Linked DNA regions of Danio rerio. The protein of the gene in region 3 binds, or shares a complex with, the protein of the main gene of each other region. Links are inferred from orthologs where the notes say so. Each region holds a gene or a part of one and is shown on either strand. Other genes may lie near its edges. The genes, in order: pigc, pigp, pigq and pigh.

Region 1 (6,338 bases), on a different chromosome or scaffold from region 3:
GTCCTTTTAAGAAAAGACTCTCAAAGTCTTGAAGCCCTGTTTTAATTGAGGAAGCGGGACAGATCCTCTCTGATCTCAGCCTCATCCCAGGGGCCGTGAATGTTGTCCTTGTGCCTCTGCAGATGAACCAGCAGCAGTGGACAGAGTAGAGTCAACATTAACAGAGCCACTGAGAGAAGAAGAGCTCCCTCGGGCCAAAGGCTTCCCAAACCCCTGACGCCGGCCAAACACACCAGCAGCGCCGCCCAGGGGAAGCTCCAGTCCGCCTTCTCCCGCACCCGGTGCAGCAGGCAGGGCCAGAGCGCGAACACCAGCAGCGCGCAGGTCAGCATGGTGAAGGTGTGCAGGGCTCCGGGCAGACGGGATGCTAGACACACCGACCCGAACAGAGCTGCATTTAGAGAAAGACTTCCCGGCGGACTGGGCTGAGCATACGGGAAAGACACCAGATGAGCCAGGAGCATAACTGCCGACATGGCGTACACGGTATCAGTGCTGACCGACTCGGTCAGAGTCTTTAAAACTGGTGAAAACCCAAAAGTAAATGCTAGGAAGACAGCAGCGCTCTGCAGGTCCGCAAGACGCGTCCGTTTGCCATCACTGGCTCCTCCCAGGACCTCATAGAGCCCGTATCCAAACAGAGCGCAGCCTAGGCAGACGCATAACACGGCAGACGGCTCCAGCTCACCCTGCTCCATGTAGGACCACAGTGTGAGAAAGAGGGCCACGCAGGACACCTGCTGGGCGATAAGGCCTGTCTCGCGAACCACAGCCCAGTAGCGGTACTGGCGGACGCGGATGTTCCGCCGCAGCTCCTCCAGGAAACGCCGGTCCACATAGTTGTCTGGGAAAGGCTGCCGTTCATAGAGCACTTTCCTCCACGGGACGGCCGAAGGAGCCCCTGGACCGCTGTCTGCTCCCATCGCCTGTCCAAATCAGAGAACACAGTGGCTGAACATTAGCTATGCATGATATTGGGAAAAAATGTGACATTGCTCATTTTTAGTTTTGCTGCCACATTAGGAATTCTCTATTGAACATGACATGTTTTTATCTAGGAATAATGTTTCTAAAGGAGCTGTTGACATGAGATTGATCCTGATTTTGGTAAAAACTCAAACAATACAAATATTAAAATAGAATAAAATAAAACACATCTGAAAAATAAGTGATGTGTAATAACAATGGAATGACACAAGGAGAAGTGTTGAACTACTGAAATACTTCATATAAAAAGCTTTTTTTGATGATGGCAGCTTAAAGACGCCTCTCATATGGAGAATGAAGTCACATGAATTGCTAAGGTGTGAGTTCTTCAGAGACTTCAACACTGTGTAAAAATCTTAATGGTTATGTGAGTCCCATCTTTCAAATCTGATCTTTAATTTGTATTTTTTATTGGGTTCAAGTCAGGTGATTGGCTGGGCCATTCTACAGCTTGATTTTCTTTCTCTTTTCTTAGCTGTGTTTTGAATCATTGTTTTGCTGAAATTTCCGCTATGGTTTCCTTTTTATCATCCTGCTAATGTAGATGTTGGACTGAAGCAGCTGATATTAATTTACAATGGCGAAGAAAAGGGGGTTGCTGAAGAACTACTGAGAGATTTCAGCTGCTGTCTGGGCTTTTATTGTCATTCTGCACCTCTCTATCTTCATGTGTTTAATATTTTTTCCCTGCTTCATTTTTTTTATTACACATAACTTTATTTGTAAAATAATTAGATTTGTTGTCTTTGCATACTTAGATTTTTTTGATTGTTTTAAACATCTGGGAAATATTTTAAGTCAACAGCGCCTTTAGTAATATGTTTTCTGAAAAGAAAAGGTGATGTGTGGAATACTTATTTCCCCCACTGTTTTGTGACACGAATATAGTTTCACCAGATGAATCGAATACTTCTATTTGGAAAGATTTCATTAATTTAGATCGACTGATTGATCAAGTGTTTTTCTTTTATTTATTATTTTATTGCTTTGATGATGCAATTAACCCTTTGCAGGTAGTTTGATTGACAGGCAATCCAGCCAATAATACTGCTGATATCCTGCGATGATCTTGTATAACTTTCTGCATTGTTGTCAAACAGGCATCATGGTAGAGTAACATTTTACAATACAATGGTGAAAATAATCTCATATGGGACTCCAAATGGTACTCAGGTACACAGAAAATTATTTTCTATGCAGTGAGTTTGCATAAATCATAATGCATTACGAGCATTCATTCATTTTCCTTGGGCTCAAGCTGCAGTCACACTAGAGTTTGTGTGTGCAAAATTCTGTCGTATGGCGATGCGAAAAGGGGCGGGATTAAACAGAATTATTACTATTAAGCATTAAAAAAAGCGAGCGATTGCTCCGTGTTTTCAATTTCTTTTCTTTTTTTCTTCAATTTCAATTTTAGGCCAGTTAAGAAACCAATATTACCGAATATTACCAAAATATTACCAAATATAAGAAACCAATATTAATAACCTAGGTTGTTAATCACAACAATGGAAAATGTTCACAACAATGGTGGGGTGGGCTCTAAAATGACAATACTCAGATTTTAAATTTGGAATAAATGTTATAAGAAAACAATATTTTATATTAATATTTTAAACAATTTGTAAATTCAGTACATCCAGAGAAACTGAGAAATTTTCATTGGTCTTTAAGTACACTTAATTTTTTTTTTATTGTCAACATTTACTCCCCCTTCACTTGTTTAAACCCTGTTTGGGTTTCTTTCTTCTGCTGAGCACAAAAGTAGATGTTTTGAAGAATGCTGGTAATACGTATGGGTTGATAACCGTATTCAAGGTATACCACGGTTTGGAAAAATCAAGGTTTTAAATTTTTTTTTTTTGCTATACCGTTCCAATGGTTTATGTAGGTTTGTTTGTTTTTATGTTTTTAGGACATAAGTATCTCCAGCAGAAGATATCCTAAAATGCCATTTTTAAATTATAAATAAATCAGTGTTTTTGAAGCTAATCAAGAGGGAGGAAGTCAAAGATTGATTTAAATTATTTAGCCTGACATGTTTATTGTTACAAAATATTTTTAAAAGTTTGTCAAAATAAAATATATTGTGTTCAAAGGTAGAAAAAAGTTTGTTGTTTATCCAGACGATTAAAAAGAATTTATTTTAGAGCAGTAATAGCAATACCGTGATATTTTCATCCAAGGTTATCATACATCACAATCTTAAACCAGCCTATCGTCACCTTAGAATAATAAGGTTTTATCTGCATTCTGAATGATTTTAAAATATTGAGCTTCAAAGTTTTTGCATTGCATAGCAAACAGTATGTGTGTAACATTTGTTTTTTAAATAAAAAATCTTAAAATGTAAACAACTTATAAAAAAACATCGCATAATGTAAATAAGTTGTCATTTAGTAAGAATATGTCAATAACTCAGTTTTGACAAAAATGTCAAATAGAACCTTATAAGGTGACGCCATGTCTAGCTGATACCTGGCACCCTTTGACTTCAATAGCAATTGCTTTGCCTTTGTAAGTAGATGGGTCCCAGCATCCATCATTCATCAAAGTATCTTCTTTATGTTCGACAGAAGAAAGAAACTCATAAAGGTTTAAAACCAATTAGAGGGGCCAGTTAGATTTTTGCGTGAACTACACCCTGTTCTCCACATATCATGTATTTGCTTCATAGTTTATATATAAAGAAAAACATTAAACACCACAAAACTTTAAGCAGCATTGTTTATCTTTGTGTAAGTAAAACGTGCATTTAATCAATCTATTATTATCCTAAATGTCAAGCGGTATCTGACTGACAGCTTCTCACGTCAATCTGATTCATACAGAATGAATCAATCATACAGTCATACAGTAAGCCAGCTGGCGACAGTGTATAAATACAGACAAAATATATTATTTCATATCAAACTTATACAGAATAATGTTCAAGATAAATCTAAAATCTTACCGAATGAGCAGGGTTTCCTGTATTTAGCCGCAGCTGTCAAGCCATCATACATCCGGAAGTGACGTACCAAAAAACAAAAACAAAAGCGCAACCGTGGTATTGACTGAAGAGCGCCACCTGACGACTGTTCCTCACAACCGCCGACGAGTGAAAAGTGAGATGCATATACATTTAATATTTATATAGTCTATGGGTAATCCTCTCTTGATTAATTTGTAACAGCATATGACTAAAATTTAAATAAAAAAACAGTGTTTAGTAATTTGAGTTATTGTTACATTTGTTTGACCCTCATTAGTGGATAATCATATTTGGAGTCCGTCTGCACACAAACAATTTATTTTCATTCATTTTAGTTACTAATATTACACTAATACTTCAGTATTAGAGTATTTAAAATAATTTGACTCAAACAATATTGTATAACACAGGGCTTCTTTCATTTGTAGCGGACTCCTCAAATGTGATTGATTTTATTTTATTCTACAATTATTTTTTTTCATTCATGAGGAAAAAGTGTCGTTTTGGATGTGACATGTCTCCATAATGGATGTGACAGATGTACAATTGCCACTTGTGTGACTTTGGTAAATTAAATACAGTAGTTTGAAAAAATTGACAGAGACATTTATTTATTTATTATTGAATTATTTTTAGTTTAGCACTTTAATACTGAGTAAAACAGCTTATTGGCTTTAAAATGAAGGATTTATTTCATACAGTTGTAATAAAAGTCCATCAACGAACGTATAGAAACACCAAGCTAAGATTCATTCATTCAGATGTAAAAAAAAAAAGCATCAAACCTATTCACAATCAACATGTAGTTCTAGATATTGGCCAGAAGGTGGTGATATGAGATCAGAAATTCAACGAGAAAAGATCAGTAACTAAAATAATGTAATATATATATATATCATCCTTTATATTAAGTCAATAATAATAATAATAGTAATAATAATTGTTTCTATATTTTATAATTGTGCAGAGTCAGATCAAGGGCTGCACAGTGGCGTAGTGGGTAGCACGTTCACCTCACAGTAAGAAGGTAGCTGGTTCAAGCCATATGGTCCAATTGGCATTTCTTGCATGTTCTCCCCGTGTTTGCATGGGTTACAGCAGTACAGGTGAATTAGCTAAGCTAAATTGTCCATATGTGTGTGAATGAGTATGTATGGATGTTTCCCAGTGATGGGTTGCAGCTGGAAGGGCATCTGCTGCATAGAACATATCCTGAATAAGTTGGTGGTTCATTCTGCTGTGGTGACCCCAAATTCATAAAGGGACTGAGCTGAAAAGAAAATGAATGAATGAATGAATGAATGAATGAATGAATGAGAGTCAGATCAAGTTAAAGGCTATGAACTAACTTGAGCAACTATGATGAAGCCACTATTACATTGGAAGCACAAAACAGTCTGACCAATAGACAAACAGAAAAGCACAGAGCAGAGCAGAAAGAGCAGCAGATCCTAGAGGACAGACACTCTCAGAGGAAAAGTGTTGTTGTAGAAACACAGAAATAGACCAGAGAGAGAGAGAAATCATTTTTTTTTACCATACTTAAATAAATCAACTTACTTGTAGGCATGGGCCGGTATAAGATTCTGACGGTGTAATAACCTTGGATATAAATAGCACAGTTTTACTGTTTCATGGTATTCTGCTCAATGCTCTAAAATCTGTTCTTTTTAAATGTCTGGGTAAAAAACAAGAACTTTTTTCCCATTTGAACACAATATATTTTCATTTGAGAAACATTTACAATATTTTGGAGCAGTAAACATGACGGGCTGAATAATTCAAGTCAATCATTGACTTTTGCTGTCTTCATTAGTTTCAACAACAGACTTCTTCACAATTAAAAACAGCATCTATGTATGAGAGATGGAGATACTGTTGTCCTAAAAACAAAACAAACAAAAAAAAAATGCAAATAAAAAATCTTACACATACCTTTGTAGAGCTGAGCGATATGGCAAAAATGTCATCTCGAAAATCATTTTCCATATTGAACGATAACAATATATTTTTAAGTTGTTAATGCTTTAAGATTTTAAAAGAGTATCCCAACAAGGACTGAAGTCACAAAAATTAGAGGATCCGATTAAACAGCATAACATATTTTCGGCCAAAAAATTTTCAGTGGCCAAAGATTCGGTCCATCTCTAATATCACACACTTTTAGATTCCCATTGTGGCACTTTTCTGCTGTGTGATTGGCTCCTAGATTATTATAGAGTTAAAAGTGCATTGCTTATCATTGTTACAGACATAAATTTGATTGTGATTCAATATAATATTGTTTATCGGCTCAGACTAATACCGTAGGATGGCAGAAAATTTTATCAGTTTTAAAACCTTGACTTTTTCAAACCGTGATATAAATTTAAAAAAA
Region 2 (6,469 bases), on a different chromosome or scaffold from region 3:
ACACATTTCTGCCATTTTTCTAGACAGAGTGTTGGATAGTCAGAAATGTCAGCTCACGCCTCTTTAAATCTATTAATATTATCAGAGATGATCAATATAAGAATAGACTCACTACACACTCAGTTTGAGCACTGTTGTCCACTCACTGTAACGCTTCTGTCCTCGCCACTGCTGTGAAAGCAATAAATGACTGAAATATACTCACAATCTTGGTTTTGTGCCTCTGAACATTGGGTCCTTCCTCCAGATCTGAGTCGTCACTGTCTGACATTCTGCTTCACACACAAAATCAGGAAAATCAGCAAAAGATTTGCATCTCGATGGGGGTAAAGGTGTTTTTACATTCGCAGAGAGCATTCTCAGCCCATACGACATAGAGAAATCACATTGTCAGCCAAATGACTGTCGAAGTACATCAGAGGTGCTCAACCCTGCTCCTGGACATCTGCCTTCCTGCACACTTCAGCTCCAGCCCTGATCAAACTCACCTGAGCAGCACTGCATAACTACAGGCAGGTGTGTTTAATATGGGTTGGAGCTGAATGCTGTAGGTAGGTGGATCTCCAGGAGCAGGGCTGAGCCTGAAGTACAACAGTTCAGTCAATTAAACAGTGCTAATGTTCAGTTCCACACCCAATATTCACAGTAGCGCGGTGAACAACATATGGAGAGGGTCACAGATTGTCACAAGAGTTCAGGAATGAGTGGATGTGTCTAACATTATATAAACCTAGTAAACACCAACTGCACAGTTTTACAGCAAACATCAGAGCAGCCTCGCTTCCCATGATGCACCTCGGGGAGACACACCTGACCCAGAGGCTTCCATTGCAAAACCACGAGCTGTTTACTGTCTAAACTGACACAAACCTGGCCAAACCTCTCCTCAAACCCGAGCTGTGCCGTGGTAAAGCTGAGGTAAACTCTCCTGCTCGCTTTATCCGCAGCTTCGCCTCAGGAGTTCAGCTTTTCTCCTTCAGCTCGTGTTTTTCTGCCTCTAAAAGGCGCCAAACTCGTCATTTCTCCGCCATTATTGAGCGTTTAATCTCTTCTCCTCTAAAGATCAGCTCGCACATCTGTAATTATCGCACTGAAAGGCGCAAACTTTACCAGGAAGTTGAACGCGACGCATTCTGGGCTGGCAGACGCTTTACCTGTGTTGATGACACGCGGGGCGTCGCGGAAGTAAGAACACGCGCTGCCGCAGCTAACCGTCCATCAGTCGTGAATATTCGGGGAGAAATGTTTATAAACTGACCTGATTCAGAAGAGCAGCTCCACTGTTTCCTGATGTTTAACCTCACGCATCAACTGCAGCGCGAAACTGACGCGGAGTAAGAAGCGCGCCCTCTGCTGTTCGCCCGCGCGAGTGGCATCAGCGCGCCCTCTGCTGTTCACCACTAGAAGGGATACAGGTGTTGTCCGAAGTAACAACTTGTTTTTACTTTATTTTAAATTAGCCATTAATTGTATTTGAGTTAATTGCACATTGTATTGACGTCTACCTACCCCAACCCCAAACCTCACAGCAATGGATTAACAGAAATTATACCGAATATCACTCATATTATTTATTAAAATGCTCATTAAACTGTATTGTATTACTACAACCCTCACAGTAATGTAAAAACAGTAATTATACAGAGTATTATTCATATTATTTATTAAATTACCCATTAAACTGTATTTAATTATCTTCTACCCTCACAGTAATGTACAATAATCAATATTGTTGTAGTGTCGTATAGATTGTGCTATACTAATGTGAGAATCCGCAGCTGTATCCCTTCTAGACGGAGTGACGTCAGCGCGCCCTCTGCTGTTCGGCCGCGGACACCAACGTTTGTCTTAAAGGCACAGCTCACCCAGTCATTTTAATTCTGTTGTCATTTACTGCCTTCTTTAGTTGTTTTACTTGAACACTTATACGCTTCATTTTAACTGCTGAACACAACAAATATTTAACATGTACGGTAAAGTACATGCTCTTAATCTGTCATAAACACACAGAATATCAGACCGAGCTAATACACGCAGATATTAGTGAATGAAGGAGAGAGAGCGTCTTCAAAATCAACATTATTTTTTACAAACAATATTTATATGGAAAATAAAAATCAGAGCATTAAACCAAATAATAGGTGCGCGCGCGTTTGTTTGTCTCCAGGCCGCGCGGGGGCGGCAGGACGCAGTGCGCCTGCGCAGAAACACAAGGAAGCACCATCAGGAAATAAGACATGTATGTTCTGTTTTTCGTTTTATATGTTATAGTATTTATCGAAACTAAAGCGTGTGTGATGTGTTAGTTTGGAGCATTGATGTGTGTGTGTGTGTGCGCGCGCAGGTGTCGCTGCTGGAGATGGTGATGGTGGAGAACTCTCCTTCTCCTCTGCCGGAAAGAGCCATCTACGGCTTTGTGCTGTTCCTGGGCGCTCAGCTGGGCTTCTGTACGTCTCTAACTCGATCTGTACTGATATTGCACACACATTAGCCGCATTTCCACTATCGGGCCAGTGCGAGCCAGGGCTTTAATCGGGCCGGGGCGGGCCAACAGCCCGGGAGGTTGAGAAATGAGGCTGAAATCATGTCGCGTTTCCACTGTCGGGCTAAAGCTCACAGCGCGTCACGCAAACACCGCCCACAGAACGTCCCCGAATCAAACGTCACACAACCCGCCCACTTCAGCGAGAATCAGGCAGATAAAGCACACCATAAATCATCACGAAACGAAACCATTAAAATGAAGACAACCGAAACAAACAAACGACACGTTACTGTACAGCAGTACATGACATGTCTATACGCACAGACCTGTGTATTTCCATTCATTACATTTGTTTACTCGCCGACCGACTGCATTGTGCATGGAGTGCTCTCGCCACTAACGCAGGGACCCAACACAGAGAGCGCACACATCCATAATATAAAGCCACAGAAATTCTCCTTTATAACTCAATATGTCATGTATTTTTTAACATCCTCTTGTTGATAGAAGTCGTGTTAAGTTTTCAGCACAAGAGCGAGTAGCCTAATAAAATATAGCCATATTTGTTGCGCTCGGCAGCTATTCACTAAAACTCCTCATTTAAAGTTTCATTTATAAATTTAACCACGTCAAATAAAAACATAAACAGTTGTTTGAGGATATAGAACACATTTTGTGTTTGGACTTCCCCCATATGCGTTTAAAGCAGCGAGTGCTGCGCAGGACTGAGTGACAGAAAAAAAGGTATAGGAGATTCTGCTTTCACTCACTCAAATAATGCTCTGTTTGCGCGATTTGATTAATATCATCGTATCCAAATACTTTATAAATATTTACTTATATAAATATTTACTTTATATAAATATTTCAAACCTTCTCCGGTGTTTATTGTTTTTAAAAAATATCGAAAATCTTTTTTTTTTTCAGACAGGTCTTTGCAAAATGAAAGTTAGGCTATATGTGGCTTTAAAACGGTTTGATTTATGTATTGTATATAGGCTACCTACATTGTTATAGTTAGCTTTTGTTTATTTTATATTGGTTAATTTATTTAATGTGATTATATATCCGATATTTGTAATTCTTTAAATTATATTTCAATATACCTTAGGCTATTTTATCAAGATATGACAATATATTGTTTAAAGTCTACGAAAGTGGGCACGTATTTTGTTAAGTTTATGTCTTTCTGTTGTATTTATATGTGTATTATCTCCAAAATAAATAAAGAAAAAAGCCGCTCGCGGCATAACAGAGCTGTGAAGGAGCGCTTTTGCCCGGTCTCACACACACATACAGGCATCTAAACGTGCACAAACAAACAAACATTTTAAACTTGACAAAAACTCTCGAAAACTTTTACTGTCTGCTGTGTTTTTAATATGGTGTAAAGATTATTATGCGTTGAAACATAAAGGAGGACGCAGCAAAGAACGTCACTATAAATTAAAACAACTTTATTATTTTATGCAGGAGCCTTACATTTAAAAGGGAAACATAAGGGTGATCATACGCAAAAAGACCCCAGACTATAAGGCTAGATGTTTTCTTTCCCTTATTTCTTTATTTGTTTGGCGCATGTACTCATGTGCGATCAGAAAACTGTCCGCCTCTTCTTTCACTCCGCCCCGAAGCCCCAGCTGGCCCTCCTTGGCCCAAGGTATTCGGCGGGCCGAAAAAGGCCGGCCGCTGGCCCCAAGAAAGCCCCGCTTTGGCCCGATTAGGCCCCGGAAGTGACAGTGGAAACCCCACTGGCCTTGGCTCGCCCTGGCTCGCTCGCTTTAGGCGCGATAGTGGAAACGCGGCTATTGTCCTTTACAGATGAAGAGAGGCTTTAATCCTGTGGCAGAAACATCAACAGAATCTACAGACTGACAGCAGTGTCTCACACACACACACACACACACACACACACACACACACACTAGAGTACAGGGCATTATACTGTCTGTATGTTTAGCTATGATGCTGAATGCTGACTGTAGTAAGAAGTACTGTAGTACACTTCAGTTTACTCAGGTAAAGTGTGGTGTATTGTGCTCTAAAGTTGTAGAAGAATACAGTTCTGACTCATAGATTACTGTAGCTGTTGTGGTACCATAGCAACCGTAGAATCACCACAACTGATCAATTACTGTAGTTTTGTTACCATAGCAACCGTAGAATCACCACAACTGATCAATTACTGTAGTTTTGTTACCATAGCAACCGTGGAATCACCACAACTGATCAATTACTGTAGATTTGTTACCATAGCAACTGTAGAATCACCACAACTGATCAATTGCTGTAGTTTTGTTACCATAGCAACTGCAGAACCACAACAGATCAATTACTGTAGATGTGTTACCATAGCAACTGTAAAATCACCACAGCAGATCAATTATTATAATTGTCATGTTACCATAGCGACTGTAGAATCACCACAGCAGATCAATTTCAGGACTTGACTCAGTCGCTGAAACACTACAGTGTTCACTATAAATGACTTGAGCATTATTTATTTGTTCTGGACTCATAATTGATATCTGAATAAACATGCAGCATGACAGAAAACAGTACTTCTGCTTGACAAACACCTCTATCTTGAAGACATTGCAGCTGCTGGTGTGTTCTTCATCTGTGGTGTTGTGTGTGTTTGTTTGTGTGTGTGTTTGTGTTCTCCATCAGTGCTGTATGTGGTCTGGGCGTTTGTTCCTGACTCTTGGCTCCATGCAGCCGGACTGACCTACTGGCCGCAGAAGTGAGTGGTCTGTCTGTCGTCTGCTCTTCAGATGCTGATGTTTAATGTCTGATCAATCACTCTTTCTCTCTCTCCGTCTGTCTGTCGTCAGATACTGGGCTCTGGCGGGCCCCATATACCTGCTGGTGGCCCTGAGCACCTGTTTCGTGCTACTGTTCGGAGTGAATATGATGAACACGGCTCCGCTGGCCTCAGTGGACAACATCACAGGTGAGAATTCAGACTAACACCACATGAGCCATTAGTGTTTGAGCTGCTGAAGATCATGTCAGCGGAGACTCAGAGCATTATAGATGTGCAGTTCTAGATGAACAGAGACAGGAGCCACAGACTGCAGACACACTCACACTGATGCATACACAACACACACACTGACGCATAGCCGTCTGTAGCTCCGCCCTCTTCTAAAAAGAGCTCAACCTCATTTGCATTTAAAGCGACAGTCACCAAAACACCACAATGAGGATCACAGCCTGAAAGAGTCAGTTTCAGAGAGCTGGAGGACATCAACTGTGTACTGTTCTCAGCTCAAACACACACACACACACACACACACACACACACACACACACACACAAGAGAGAGACACAGCAGAGACGCATTTACAGCTTGTAGAAAGGGGCAGAATAAGTCTCCTTTAATGAGTTAACAGTCTCAACCCCTATGATGAATGGCAGATTAGCAGATTCTGACATTACTCCTCCACATCTGGACACTTGATCTTCACTAAAGTCTCTTGAACCGTCACAGACACTTTCCTAATGTGCTGTCAGCGAATCTGAAGTCTCTTCTGTCAGTCTAATTCACCAGAACTGAACTCTCATGACTGGATGAATGATTCTGTTCTCATTAGACAGTGTTAAATCACACACACACACACACACACACACACACACACACACACACACACACACGTAACGCTGGTTTGTGTGCTGCTCCAGATGCGTATGGCAGGAGTCAGCGGGTGGACGAGGACCAGCCGGGAGCGATCCCCAGACTCCGAGACGTGTCGGTCAGTGAAATGAGCCGGCTGTTTTACCTGTGAGCCGCCTCTGTCATCAGCGCTGGAGAGGCGTTTGCAGAGGCGTCTCAGGTGAGCAGATCCATCAGGTGTGTGTGACGGCCTGAACTCCGGCTTCCAGATGACCCCGCCGTGACCTCAGCGACCCCTGTGAAGCCACACCTCAAAACACATCTGCACTTCAGCATTTCTCTCAGATCTCTGAATCTCACTGTGTGTG
Region 3 (5,813 bases):
TTTAAATGTGTGTGCATTTATATTTATTCAGTTTTTAAATTCATTTCAGTAGTATGATTGACTAATATTAAAAGGTTCAGATGATTTGTTTACAATAGTTTGTAAGTAATATGTTCTGTCTTTTAGTAGAGATATTATATGAGAGACTTGCTTTGTTTACCAAATCAGTGGATCTAATTGGATTTGCATTGTAAACATTAAATAAAAGTTAAAAAGGTATTCTTTTTCATGTCATATATTAAGTTTTTAGTCACGATACTCCCAAAATCATTTCGCAAAAATTCCCCCCCCTTTTTTTTTTTTTTTTACAAAATTCTGTGCAGAAATTGCAAAAAATGTCTGCAGATTTTGTCTGGCCCTAGGAAGGGGTCAATCACATAAAACGAGTGTTTTCATTTGATAACAAAAGAGAAAAAAACATTAGCATTGACTTTTGCCTTGTGCTTTGTTTATTTGATTTTGAAAAACGTGTAAGTCTGTTAGGGGTGCACAATATATCGTTTTAGCATCAATATCACAATGTGTGTAAGCGCAATAGTCACATCACATAGATATGCAGTGTTGATTTGGGATTATAGTTGAGCCAGTGTCACAGTTCAAAACATGAGATTTGTTGAATCACTGCAGAAATTAAATATAATGGAGTGACATTTATAATTTGCATGTTTTTAAGGCCTAAGAGACATTAAGTATTCAGACACAGGACGTTTTACCAATCGGAAGATTAATTATATTGAATTATTTATACAGTAAAGACTTTGCAGTGTCATTTTTACATTTACAAAACCATAAAGCATGTTTATTTCACTTTTATTTTTACATTATTCACTCTTCTACTAAATCATCCCAATTAATCAAAATTTATACATTCGGTAACATTTTAGGGACCAATTCTCATTATTAACCAGTAGCTTATTAGCATGCATGTTATTGAGATATCGGCTGTTTATTAGTACTTATAAACTACATTTTCTGCATAATCTTATACTTCATCCCTAGTCCTACCAATACCTAATCTACCTTAATAACTATTAATAAGGAGCAAATTAGGAGTTTGAGACAAAAGCCATATAATTAAACCATAAAATAATAATAATAAATTATTTTCAAATAAGTGCTATTCAGTCTTAGGAGAAATTGTATAAATTTCACACTATATATTGCAATATATATTACACTATATATATATTGCAGAAGAACAAAATTTTGCAATGTCAGATTTTTCCAATATCATGCAGATTCTTAATCCCTATTTTAAAAATCAGTTTAATGAAATAAAACACTCTCTGAAGTTAAAAGTATTTTAAAAGTAAATTTCATAACATGTATAAGTAATGATTATTGTTCTCATTAAAACAATTTTAAGTACTCATCAATACTCAAGGTAATTAATCTTGCATTAATAAAAAGGTCAAGTGTCCTGATATTTTAAGAGACTTATTTATTATGACAATTGTTGCATTGTAAATGCTATTCTAAAATAAAAATCTACATTCATTCTTGTAATGAAACATTTTGATCTTAATGTTTAGATTTGTTTTTACTTGTTCTTCAAAATATTATTTAGAATGAAATGCAATATTAGAAATCATTATAAAAATAGCATGTTAATTACTTAAATGTTTAACTTTTTAATTAGATTTTTCAATCAAATATAATCTCTTAACTCTTTCTTTTTTTCACTCCTCTGCAGAAAAGCAAACATCTTTGTGTCTTTCCTTGTGGACATAGCCTTTGGTTTGCTGCTCATCTCATGGCTGTATAGGGAGAATCGTATCAGCAAATTAGCCAATACTCTGGTACCTGTGGCTGATGTAAGTATGACAATATATTTCCATTAAAAAGTTTTAGGGTTACATTATTTATTTAAGTCTCTTTGACTAGGCCTGTCACAATAATCAATATATCGATTTATCACACAACACATGGACATGACCTCAATCTTTTTTGCCGATGCAATATATATTGCCCAATGCTTGTACATAAAAACCAATTCTAGCAACATTTTAGCTGATTTCGCAACATCTCTATTGGAGGTGCCAATGTTAGTATGGTTAAAAGAACTGCAATATTTACTTTAAATAACTGTACTATATTTTTATGTGGGTGCCTGAACACTGAAAATAGATCTGGCAGCAGATATTGCAGCCTATGTTACTCGTTACCTCGCACTTTTTGGTTAATATTTATTATTATTTATTAAAGATATGTGTTTTCACATTCTGATTCCAATGCCTAATTATTAAATTGTTAAAATGACTATAATTATAATAAATATTCTTCAGAATAAAACATTATGTGTTTTTGGGAAGAGTGTACTTGCATTGTGATGCTATTATATTGTCATTTTGGCAATATGTAATGGCATAAAATGGTCTTAAAATGACAGTAATATAGTTTATTGCAATATATTTGGTGCAATATATCATACAACAAAATATATATATATATATATATATATATATATATATATATATATATATATATATATATATATATATATATATATATATATATATATTGTGACAGGCTCTGTCTTTCACTTCATTTTATTTATCTTTGATTCATTTGATTAAAAAAGTTAAAAATATTACAACAAATAAAATAAATAAACATTTTCTTTTCATTTTGTTTTCTTGGTTTGCAAAGCTGTTTTTAAACCCATTAGTCCAGAATAAAATGAGGAAAAAAATATTAGCTTCACTTAGGATCAGTTTACATATTAAAATAAATATACATGCATAATGATAAAAAAAAAAATTGGGTTGTGTTTCAGCATGTGGCCAAAGAGCTCCAGCAGCTGTTAGAATGGCTGATGGGAGCTCCTGCTGGACTGAAGATGAACAAGGCTCTCGATCAAGTGCTGGGGAGGTTCTTTCTTTATCACATTCATCTGTGGATCAGTACGTACAGCCTAATTTGAAGCATTCTCTTGGTGTTTCAGACTTATGCCAGATTCTCATGATATCTTGTGATTTGTGTGAACAGGTTACATCCACCTGATGTCTCCTTTCATTGAGAGGATCTTGTGGTACGTCGGACTCTCAGCCTGCTTGGGGCTGACTTTTGCGCTCTCCATCCTGTCCGACATTGTGGCCCTCCTGACTTTCCACATCTACTGCTTTTATGTGTATGGAGCACGGTGAGGTTTATTTATTTTCTCTATATTACGTTTTCTAACAAACTGACTGCATCCAAAATCACATGCTTTAGACTTGGTAAAAAAAAAGTGTGTGAACAAAGTTGTAAGTCTCTATTTAGAGGACTCATAAAGATTTTTTAGTCTTTATTTAGTGGTAAGAAAACAAATAAAAAATTTTATATACGAATGCTGTGTACTTTTAGTGAACAACTTGACGCCATATACACTATTGAAAATAGTATTTAGATAAATTTGTAACAGCAGGTTTTCCTCTCAAAGACATGTATTATTGCATACAGCAGATTTTTTGTGCCTGTACACTATGCGATTTCAGCTGCAGCCAATGGGCTATATGCATAGCTAGTTGTTCAGCCACTGATAAGCTTGTGACTATTTAGAATTTCATAAGGTTGCTTTTACAGTATCGATGTAGCAATGTAATTAAAATATTATCAGTTACAGGGACTTCAGCGTTCATTTATATGTTCTGGGCTAAAATTGGATGAAAGTTTAAACAGAAGCACCATCAGGAGCTGCAGGCGAGCACAGATAATCCATTGAAATTAATGTGGTAAAATAAATTTCCATAAGATTTAAAGATATAGCATTGAACAATGGAATTTAATGCAGTGCTTCTTGTCCAGTCTGAGACACACTTTTTATTGAATATCTATCAGGCAGTGAAGAATATTGATTTCTAAAGAAACTAGATCTTAATTGTGATTTTGTAATGGCATCACAGTTCACCTGAAGCGTTTGAGTATGCTTACTGAAAATTCTAAATCTGAGTGCATATACCCCATTGTATCTGTAATGTTTTTACACTTTGATTTCCAGTAGAGGGCAGTATCAACTTCTATAATTGGTCCCTTTAGCAAGAAAACTGAACGTCCAAGTGTACAATGTACAAGTAGAGTTTCACAGAAAACAGAGGTGAAATAGGAGTTTGTGTTTCATGAAAGAAAAAATATATTGTTATTTAAAGACATCAGGCTTGATATCATTTTTGAGTGTAGTTTTTTTTTTCAAGGTTCTTTCTTAAATCTGTCTAAACCTTATAATTAGAGTTCTGAGTCTTTACTTGTGCCCCCTATGGAGTTATTTTTGTTTCTTTATTATTTAAAAAAAAAAAAGTTTTAGGGTAAATAGTTAATAAAAAATAAAAGATTGTTTAATTAAAAGAATTGTTTAACAAAAAAACTTATGTCAATGATAAAATATTTTGGATCGCAAAAAATTATTGTCCTATTATGCAGATAACACAATTGTCCTTCCACACTCATTCACGCTCTCTGCTCTGTTGCCATTTACATTCTACAATCTTTGCTTGTGATTTTAAAAGTTTTGCTTGGTGTGGAAAAGTTTTGAACCCATGATATGAATTTTTCACCAAAATTAGGTGCATTGTAATTAAAAAATAAATGATTTAAAGTAAAAAAAAAAAACATTTAATTAAAAAATGTCATTAATAAAAAATGTGCACTGCAAAAAAATGCACATTTCACCGGGATGAAAGGCCTTATTTTATTGGTCAATCTTGATTGAGGTCACAGGTTGGCCACACCCACTATGTTTTCGCGCAATTGGAATTGGACTGGACTCCCTTGACATAAGTTTTTTTAATTAAACAGTCTTTTATTTTTTAAATTACTATATACTTATTTTTTCCCTTAAAACTAGATATTTTTATTGAATAATAAAGAAACAAAATTCCATAGACCCTGGGTCACAATTATCAGCTTTTTGAAATTAAGACTTTACTTAAAAGCTGAATAAAACAGCTTTGTATTGATGATTGATTTGTTAGAATATGACATTATTTGCCTGAAAGGCAACTATTTTGAAATCTGTAATGTGAGAGTAAAAATAATATTGGAGTTATAGTTTCAACTTGTTCAATTTTAGTTTTTAGAAATGTATATATCTCATTACATGTAGTTTAGATATGTTTATGGTAGGACATTTTTAATAGTCTATAACATGAAACAAGATCTTTATTTAGTATACTAATGGTTTTTGGCATGAATTTGACCCATACAATGTATTTTTCATATGGGTCAGTTGTATTTTATATAGGTCAGATGTATAAGTGGTAGTGCCCAACTGAGTCTGGTTTCTCTCGATCTTTTCCTTTCCTTCACTTTTGTCAAGTGGTGAAGTTTGTTCCTCGCCACTGGCTTGCTTGGTTTGAGACTTGTGGAGCTGCCCATCAATGGATTTCCTCTTTAGTGTTTGGACTTTCAGCAGTAAAATTTAAACCACCCTGAACTGAACTTTGAAAACTGGACTTACACAGTTTCAATTTACTAGAACTTCTATGTTAAGCTGCTTTGGCACAATCTACATTGTAAAAGCGCTATAGAAATAAGCTTGAATTGAATTGAATATTCCTATGAGGTTTAGTGATCCTGGGTAACATTTTCATTTTACCTTTGACATTATTCTATTCTTTGAGTACTGCAGGGTGGTTTCTTTATTTGTGAAGTGTTTGTTCTTCTGTCTTGTCAGGCTGTACTGTTTGAAGATCTACGGTCTCTCCTCGCTCTGGCGACTCTTTAGAGGAAAGAAATGGAACGTTTTGAGGCAGAGGGTGGACTCGTGCTCATACGACCTGGACCAGGTACGTCTCAGCATGATTTATTCATGTATTGGCCATTTAGTTCATTTCGCA
Region 4 (6,318 bases), on a different chromosome or scaffold from region 3:
CTATTATTTCAAAATATTCAGATTTATAGTAAGACCACAAGGGCACCATTTGGGACTAGGCTTATAGGTGAATCTGAACTTTTTTTTCACAAGCTGTTTTTAGCCTAATATTTCTTAGAGAAGATTTTGTGTGCAGAATCCCCATATAAAAGAAGACTCCAATCAAAGCTTCATGTCTACTCATTAACCAATTAGCCAATCAAATCTGAGGAGCAGAATTGACTTGTGTATAAAGGAAAACTTCTATGAAAAGTTTAAGTACCTGCATGTCTTCATTTTCATCCACTAGAAGAAAGCTGGTGACTTTCTCCAGTTTGGCTTTGAGCTCATCCAGCTGCTCGTCTCCGGTGCTGCAGTTGTTCTCCGGCGGTTTAGAGGGAGGAGGGTACGCAGTGAGAGGGTGCTTTCTTTTACTGACCCCGCTGTGAGTCCGTTTTTGACAGTCCAAGCACAGGTTGATTTTGCACCCTTGACATCGAACCACTGCTCTCAGCCGACCCCCGTTCGGCACCCCTCCATCACCTTTACACGAATCGCAGTAGGGTACGTGGCCAGGAGCGATTCGGATCCTGTCGTGGTTCCTCATGCGGTCCTGACGGTGGAGCTCCAGCTCGCAGCGGATGCACTGCAGGCTGCCGCATTCGTCGCACTCGAAGGCGGCCTCGTCCGTGCCACCGCAGGCGTAGCTCTCCTGACAAACCAGAACGCCGTTCAGCCCCTTCTCCGCCGACGAGCCCTGGCCGCTCATTATACGTCCAAATATAATAGCGAGGTAACGGAAGCGAACGAACTTGAACGGAAATTTCTCTGAAAGTTACTCAACTACAGCAGAGAGCAACCTAAATGTACAATCAACTACTGACACGCTATATAATACCTCATAGATAATGCATTTAGCGTCCTAAACAATATATCTCACTCGTCTGCTGTGAATTTCATTGGAATTCAAAATGTGATGTCAAATTATGACACTGGCTTAAAATCAAATATTCAATATGAACTATAAATAGATCAGTTGACATCCGTGTAGCACTGGCACTAGGACAGATTGTCGAGCTTTCTAATTGATTTAAAAGTGTTCAAGCGGTCTAAACTGACAATCTACAAGCCATAAGTATCGAAATGTTTGTATTGGCAGACATAAACACTGAGAAAACAGCTACATTCGAGTGTTGTTATCGCCCTGGGCTTTTGTTACTCAAGCTAGCTACGATTAGCATACGTGACTGGGCTGTCTCCTCTAGTTTCAAAGACTAAATACTAGTGGGGTTAGAAAATATGACTTCTGTATCTGAATTAATAATGGTTTAGTATCGTACAGTCCTTAAAGTATGTTCACCCAACAACACACACTGATCAACAGAGCTTTGACCGAACAAAACAAGCTGATTTCGAGCCAGAATCACACCGCAGTTTTCAACAAACGAGCTGCTGAATTCCCTCAAACATCGCACACGACAACGACTCTGTCATAAACACAAAAACAATAAGCCGGTTGATGTGAAGATAACTGTTTTTGCCCACCAGCTTGTAAAATGATTCCCCTCCCCGGTAGATTCGGGTGAATGTTGTTGCCAGGTCAGATCAGCTGATCGGCTTGTTTTCACTGGAGCGGGAGTCAAAGGTTACCGACCGCAGGGGCTGATGGGAAATGCAGTCAGATCTCATACATTTCCTAAAGAATCGATAATGCAATGGGGAGAGGTCATCTGAAAAATATTTCAAAAACAAAATGGTGGTAGAATACAATTTATGGGAATGTACTAGGCAGTTTTTTTATTGTAGGCTACATTTATTTGGTCGATTATTACCTTCACATTGCTGGTGACAAAGACACTAAAATATAAATAAAATAAAATACTTAACATTTTAATTGTTACTCAAGTTAATATAGTCTTACTGCATAATCTAATAACATCAAAACAGTTAGCGTATTTCACATGGCACTCCGGGGGTATCCTGCTGTTCCCAGGCCAGCCGAGAGCCGTCCTGGGTCTTCCCCGAGGCCTCCTCCTGGTGGGACATGCCTGGAACACCTCCCAAGGTAGACGTCCAGGAGGCAGACTTCTCAGCTGACTTCTCTCGATGTGGACAAGCAGCGGCTCTACTCTGAGCTCCTCCCGGGTGTCAGAGCTCCTCACCCTATCCATAAGAGTGCACCCTGCCACCCTTCAAAGGAAACTAATTTTGGCCTCTTGTATATGAGATCTTTTCCTTTCCGTCATGACCCAAATCTCATGACCACTGGTGAGAGTAGGAACGTAGATTGACCGGTAAATCGAGAGCTTTACCTTTCGGCTCAGCTCCTTCTTTACCACAACGGACCGGTACATCGACTGCATTACTGATGACGTTGCATCAATCCACCTGTCAATATCACTTTCCATCCTTCCCTCACTCGTGAACAAAACCCCAAGAAACTTAAACTCCTCTACCTGGGGTAAGAACTTTCCTCCAACCTGGAGGTGCAAATATTACTAATCAAAAATTTTATTATTTACTTGTATTTATTTAAAAAAATATATTTTTGTGAAACATAGCTCAGTAAATAACTTAATGAAAAAGATCATTTAGGCTTTTACAATGTACTTTACAGTGTACTTGTTTTCACTGGAGCGAGAGCTAAATATTTTTGTGCAACTGGTTTTGTGGTCCAGAATGGGAGTTTTCAACCCCAGTCCAGTAGATGGCGAAAACGCACCTGTATGTTATTTTGCCAACGTCACATTATCATAAGAAGAAGATGGTTTTACTGTTGGTGGAAAAATAATAATCTAAGCAAAACTATTTATTCTGAAGTCTTTATTAATGTAATTTTCCGACCGCGAAATAACCAGCAGTGATCGAGATGGCCGACGAAGAGTTCACAGACATAAATGGCAACTGGATTTCTTTAGACTGCCAAACGCACTCTTCTTTCTGCAGAGAGTTTACTGTTACCTCACCCAAACTGTCCTTGCGCAAGGTGATGGTGTACACCTGCTGTGTGTGGTTATTTGCTTATGCTGTGTTCTTCTTCACCCAGGTAAGAACATTTTATCATGCGGACTATGAAGGCCTTGGCGTCTTTTGCTGTTTATTAGACAAAAAATGACTGTTTATTGGACTTTGATTTGACATTGCGCGAAAACGTCTATTATACAGTTGAAAACAAATTTATTAGCCCTCCTTTGAAATTGAACTTTTTTTTACTAAGTTATTTTCCCAAGTTTTCTTTAACGTTTAGAGAAGATTTTATTTAAAAAAAGAATTTAATGATAACATAATTATTTTGTTTTTTGCCATAATGAAATTAAATAATATTTTACAATTTATTTTGCAAAATACTAGTAATATTAATCTAAAAATGCAATTTAAAGGCTTAACTGGGTTATTTAGGGTTAACTAGGTCAAATCATTGGACAACAGTGGTTTGATCTGTAGCCAATATTTAATATTTCTTAAGGGAAAAAAAATACATATTTAAAATGTACGTCCATATAGTGAGGAAACAGAAGTAGTTTACGTTGTCATTTATAGTGCATTTATTACAGCTGCTGAGTGCAGGTTAAAACATTTGATTGTGCATGAGGCTGTATTTGGAGATCAAAATAAGAAAACAATATATAGTTTCTCTGAAAAAAAAAAGCTTCTAAAAAGTGTAAATGAAAAGTATATTTGGAAATACTGTAAATATTTTCCTTGCTCTGTTAAAATATCCATCGGCAATTATTCTAAGAAAAAGGATTTTACAGTAAGGCTGATCATGTGGTCTTCAACTGTATTCAGTGATTTTATCACATGAGCCAAACCATAAAAAATGCTTTCTTTACCCATCACAATATGCAATTTTAAAGAAGATAAAACCAAAATACAGAATATGTTGGTTCAATAAAGTCGTATCCCTCTAAATCCAATACACTCAGTAACCATTTCATTTGGCAGGATTATAGTCGAACAGGAACCCAAATTAATCATGTTTGTGTTTTTAAGGCCTGTGATTGTGTAAGCATGTAAAGCATTCATGCATAATGAAATAATGAAAACTATTTTACATTTGATTACTCAATTTGAGTACCCGAATACTGCTAGAAGGTTGTTGTTTTCATTCATCGCTTTGCTCTACTGTTTTTATCAATACTTTTGATTGATTTATTAAATTTGATGCAGATACACTCCACAAAATCATCATAATCAATGTAAAATTATGTAAATTCTTTCCAAATAGAGCTATTCATTTCATCTGGTGAATTTATTTACAGAATCTCAATGTGTATTGACAAAAAACTAAATACTGCAATATCAGCTTTTTCCCAATATCATACAGCCCTAGTATATATCTCAAAATTCCACTTAGTACTAAGCAAGAAGAACTTATTCAGGAATTTCCAACATGGCTGCGATTGAAAGTTTGATATTATAATAGAATATATGAAATATTTTCGTGAATGTCAAGCAAATGTTCAATATAAATCTAACCTAATTGCTCTTATTGATCTAATATAATTCTCCTTCTGTTTAATATTCAGAACACGGCGGTTCTGTCAAGTGCCATCATCCTCACTTTAGTTGGGATGGTGATTCATATTCACTTTGTGAAGGTGGACCATGAGACCCTTCTCATAATAGGCTCTCTGGGTGTCCAATTGTCCTCGTCTTACGCCTCTGGACGAGAAAGCACGACTTTCATTGAGATGAGCAAGCTGAAAGACATCGTCATAAATGAGGCTGTTTATATGGTAAACACACAGTGACCTTCACGCATGATAGATATCGAGATGTAAAAATAATCAGTGTTTGTGTTTTTGCTCCTCAGCACAACATCATATACTATCTGTGCATTCTCATCAAGGACCCAGCAGATCCTGAGACGGTGACCAGTGTTGTTCCTCTCTTCCAGGTTCAAAACAGCTGTTGTTATTCATTCGCAAAAGCAAGATTATAGGAATTTGTGACATCTCAGTATGTAAATGAACACCTTTGGTTCTTCCTCCAGAGTTCAAAGCCTCGGCTCAATTGTTTGATTCAAGTGTACAAGAGCTGTCAAGAAATTCTAGCACAGAGCAGATGACGCAGAGGTAATGCTTCATGTTTTGCTAGATATTCTGCATGTTTTACATGACTGACATAGTTCTGTGTCTATATATGCTTTATGACTCCATGTTTTTCGATCAGCAGAGGCTTTCTTTGAAGATGAATGAAGATTGGAAAACTCCAGAACGAATCATAAGCACATTGTTGGTAGCTTTTTTGTATTGTCAGTAATACACAATGCATTTTGTTACATGCAGAAGTTTTTAGATAGGCTTCGCATTCAAAAACGTTTGTACATAACAGTATTCTTGCCTCATTTAAAACATTATTTAATGATTAGCCATTTAGTTTTTTAGGATGTGTTCACACTTGTTTTGCATAATTTTGTTAAAAAAAACTGACAACGGAATATTTTCAATATATATTTTAATATGAAGACTTGAATAGATCTATTCAGAAATAATTCATTATTTTAGATTGATTAGGGTGATTATTGTTATTATTATTATTATTATTTTCCATTTTAGGGGAGCACATTTGGATCAAATATAACAAATCACAAGAAAAAATAAGTACAACAGAAAATACAATGGTCTATGGTTCACTGGTGAGACTAACAATACAGAAATAAATATGACACTGAAACAATTACTGTATGGTATAAATATTTAAATACAAGTAATCTTTGTTAAAGCTACAGACATAATTGCTTAAATGCTTTTAACAGGGTGTCCCCGAGGTCTTACAAAGTAATAAAGTGTCTTAAATTTCAAAAAACAAAATTTTAGGCCTTAAGTTTGAAATTCACTGCAATATTGTGCTGCGAGTCTTAAATCATTTTACACAGGTCTTATTTTACTATTTCCATTTAAAGCTACCCTATCGGGCTGACACCCAATCACCAATAATCAGTCTTAATTTTTTGGTTCATATTTAGTTTTTTTTATTGTTATTATTTTTATTATTTAAAAAGATACATGTCACATAAGCTGTTAGACATTTTTACAGCTAATTAAATTCCCTAATCAGGGAAAGAAAACTAAAGCAACGCATCCTTTTACATGATCTTCCATTAATACAAAAACTATTTACAGAAGTAACCGGGCCATTCAAAATTCTTAGTGTTTAGAGCTGTATCAGTCTAAAATTTCACTCATATGCTTTTGAAAGGGTCTTAAAAAGTCTTAAGTTTGACTTGAAGAAACCCTGTTTAAAACCCTTTTTTAGAAATGCCTTAAAAACACCTGGAAATAATAAACAATAAATTTCTTATGATTAAACAATAAAATTCGGGGTGCTGGTCAA

The links.
Region 1: pigq (region 3) and pigc share a complex: the UniProt entries of both Homo sapiens proteins name them as parts of the glycosylphosphatidylinositol-N-acetylglucosaminyltransferase (GPI-GnT) complex. The link is inferred for Danio rerio from reciprocal best matches to the Homo sapiens genes PIGQ and PIGC.
Region 2: pigq (region 3) and pigp share a complex: the UniProt entries of both Homo sapiens proteins name them as parts of the glycosylphosphatidylinositol-N-acetylglucosaminyltransferase (GPI-GnT) complex. The link is inferred for Danio rerio from reciprocal best matches to the Homo sapiens genes PIGQ and PIGP.
Region 4: pigq (region 3) and pigh share a complex: the UniProt entries of both Homo sapiens proteins name them as parts of the glycosylphosphatidylinositol-N-acetylglucosaminyltransferase (GPI-GnT) complex. The link is inferred for Danio rerio from reciprocal best matches to the Homo sapiens genes PIGQ and PIGH.

What each region holds. Positions count from the first base shown.
Region 1 is NC_133195.1:16,064,093-16,070,430, reverse strand, and holds the start of pigc (phosphatidylinositol N-acetylglucosaminyltransferase subunit C), read right to left. Parts: upstream 3,959-6,338; 5' UTR 3,941-3,958; intron 927-3,940; 5' UTR 924-926; coding exon 42-923; 3' UTR 1-41. UniProt on the Homo sapiens protein: Part of the glycosylphosphatidylinositol-N-acetylglucosaminyltransferase (GPI-GnT) complex that catalyzes the transfer of N-acetylglucosamine from UDP-N-acetylglucosamine to phosphatidylinositol and participates in the first step of GPI biosynthesis.
Region 2 is NC_133185.1:415,695-422,163, forward strand, and holds the start of pigp (phosphatidylinositol N-acetylglucosaminyltransferase subunit P), read left to right. Parts: upstream 1-2,197; 5' UTR 2,198-2,239; intron 2,240-2,344; 5' UTR 2,345-2,359; coding exon 2,360-2,447; intron 2,448-5,155; coding exon 5,156-5,228; intron 5,229-5,319; coding exon 5,320-5,438; intron 5,439-6,169; coding exon 6,170-6,273; 3' UTR 6,274-6,469. Other genes in the region: E3 ubiquitin-protein ligase TTC3, read right to left, coding at 206-271. UniProt on the Homo sapiens protein: Part of the glycosylphosphatidylinositol-N-acetylglucosaminyltransferase (GPI-GnT) complex that catalyzes the transfer of N-acetylglucosamine from UDP-N-acetylglucosamine to phosphatidylinositol and participates in the first step of GPI biosynthesis.
Region 3 is NC_133178.1:25,538,613-25,544,425, reverse strand, and holds part of pigq (phosphatidylinositol N-acetylglucosaminyltransferase subunit Q), read left to right. Parts: intron 1-1,693; coding exon 1,694-1,814; intron 1,815-2,776; coding exon 2,777-2,903; intron 2,904-2,988; coding exon 2,989-3,142; intron 3,143-5,650; coding exon 5,651-5,762; intron 5,763-5,813. UniProt on the Homo sapiens protein: Part of the glycosylphosphatidylinositol-N-acetylglucosaminyltransferase (GPI-GnT) complex that catalyzes the transfer of N-acetylglucosamine from UDP-N-acetylglucosamine to phosphatidylinositol and participates in the first step of GPI biosynthesis.
Region 4 is NC_133195.1:31,130,736-31,137,053, reverse strand, and holds pigh (phosphatidylinositol N-acetylglucosaminyltransferase subunit H), read left to right. Parts: upstream 1-2,730; 5' UTR 2,731-2,848; coding exon 2,849-3,025; intron 3,026-4,508; coding exon 4,509-4,718; intron 4,719-4,795; coding exon 4,796-4,879; intron 4,880-4,975; coding exon 4,976-5,050; 3' UTR 5,051-5,057; intron 5,058-5,154; 3' UTR 5,155-5,569; downstream 5,570-6,318. Other genes in the region: zfyve1 (zinc finger FYVE domain-containing protein 1), read right to left, coding at 263-748. UniProt on the Homo sapiens protein: Part of the glycosylphosphatidylinositol-N-acetylglucosaminyltransferase (GPI-GnT) complex that catalyzes the transfer of N-acetylglucosamine from UDP-N-acetylglucosamine to phosphatidylinositol and participates in the first step of GPI biosynthesis.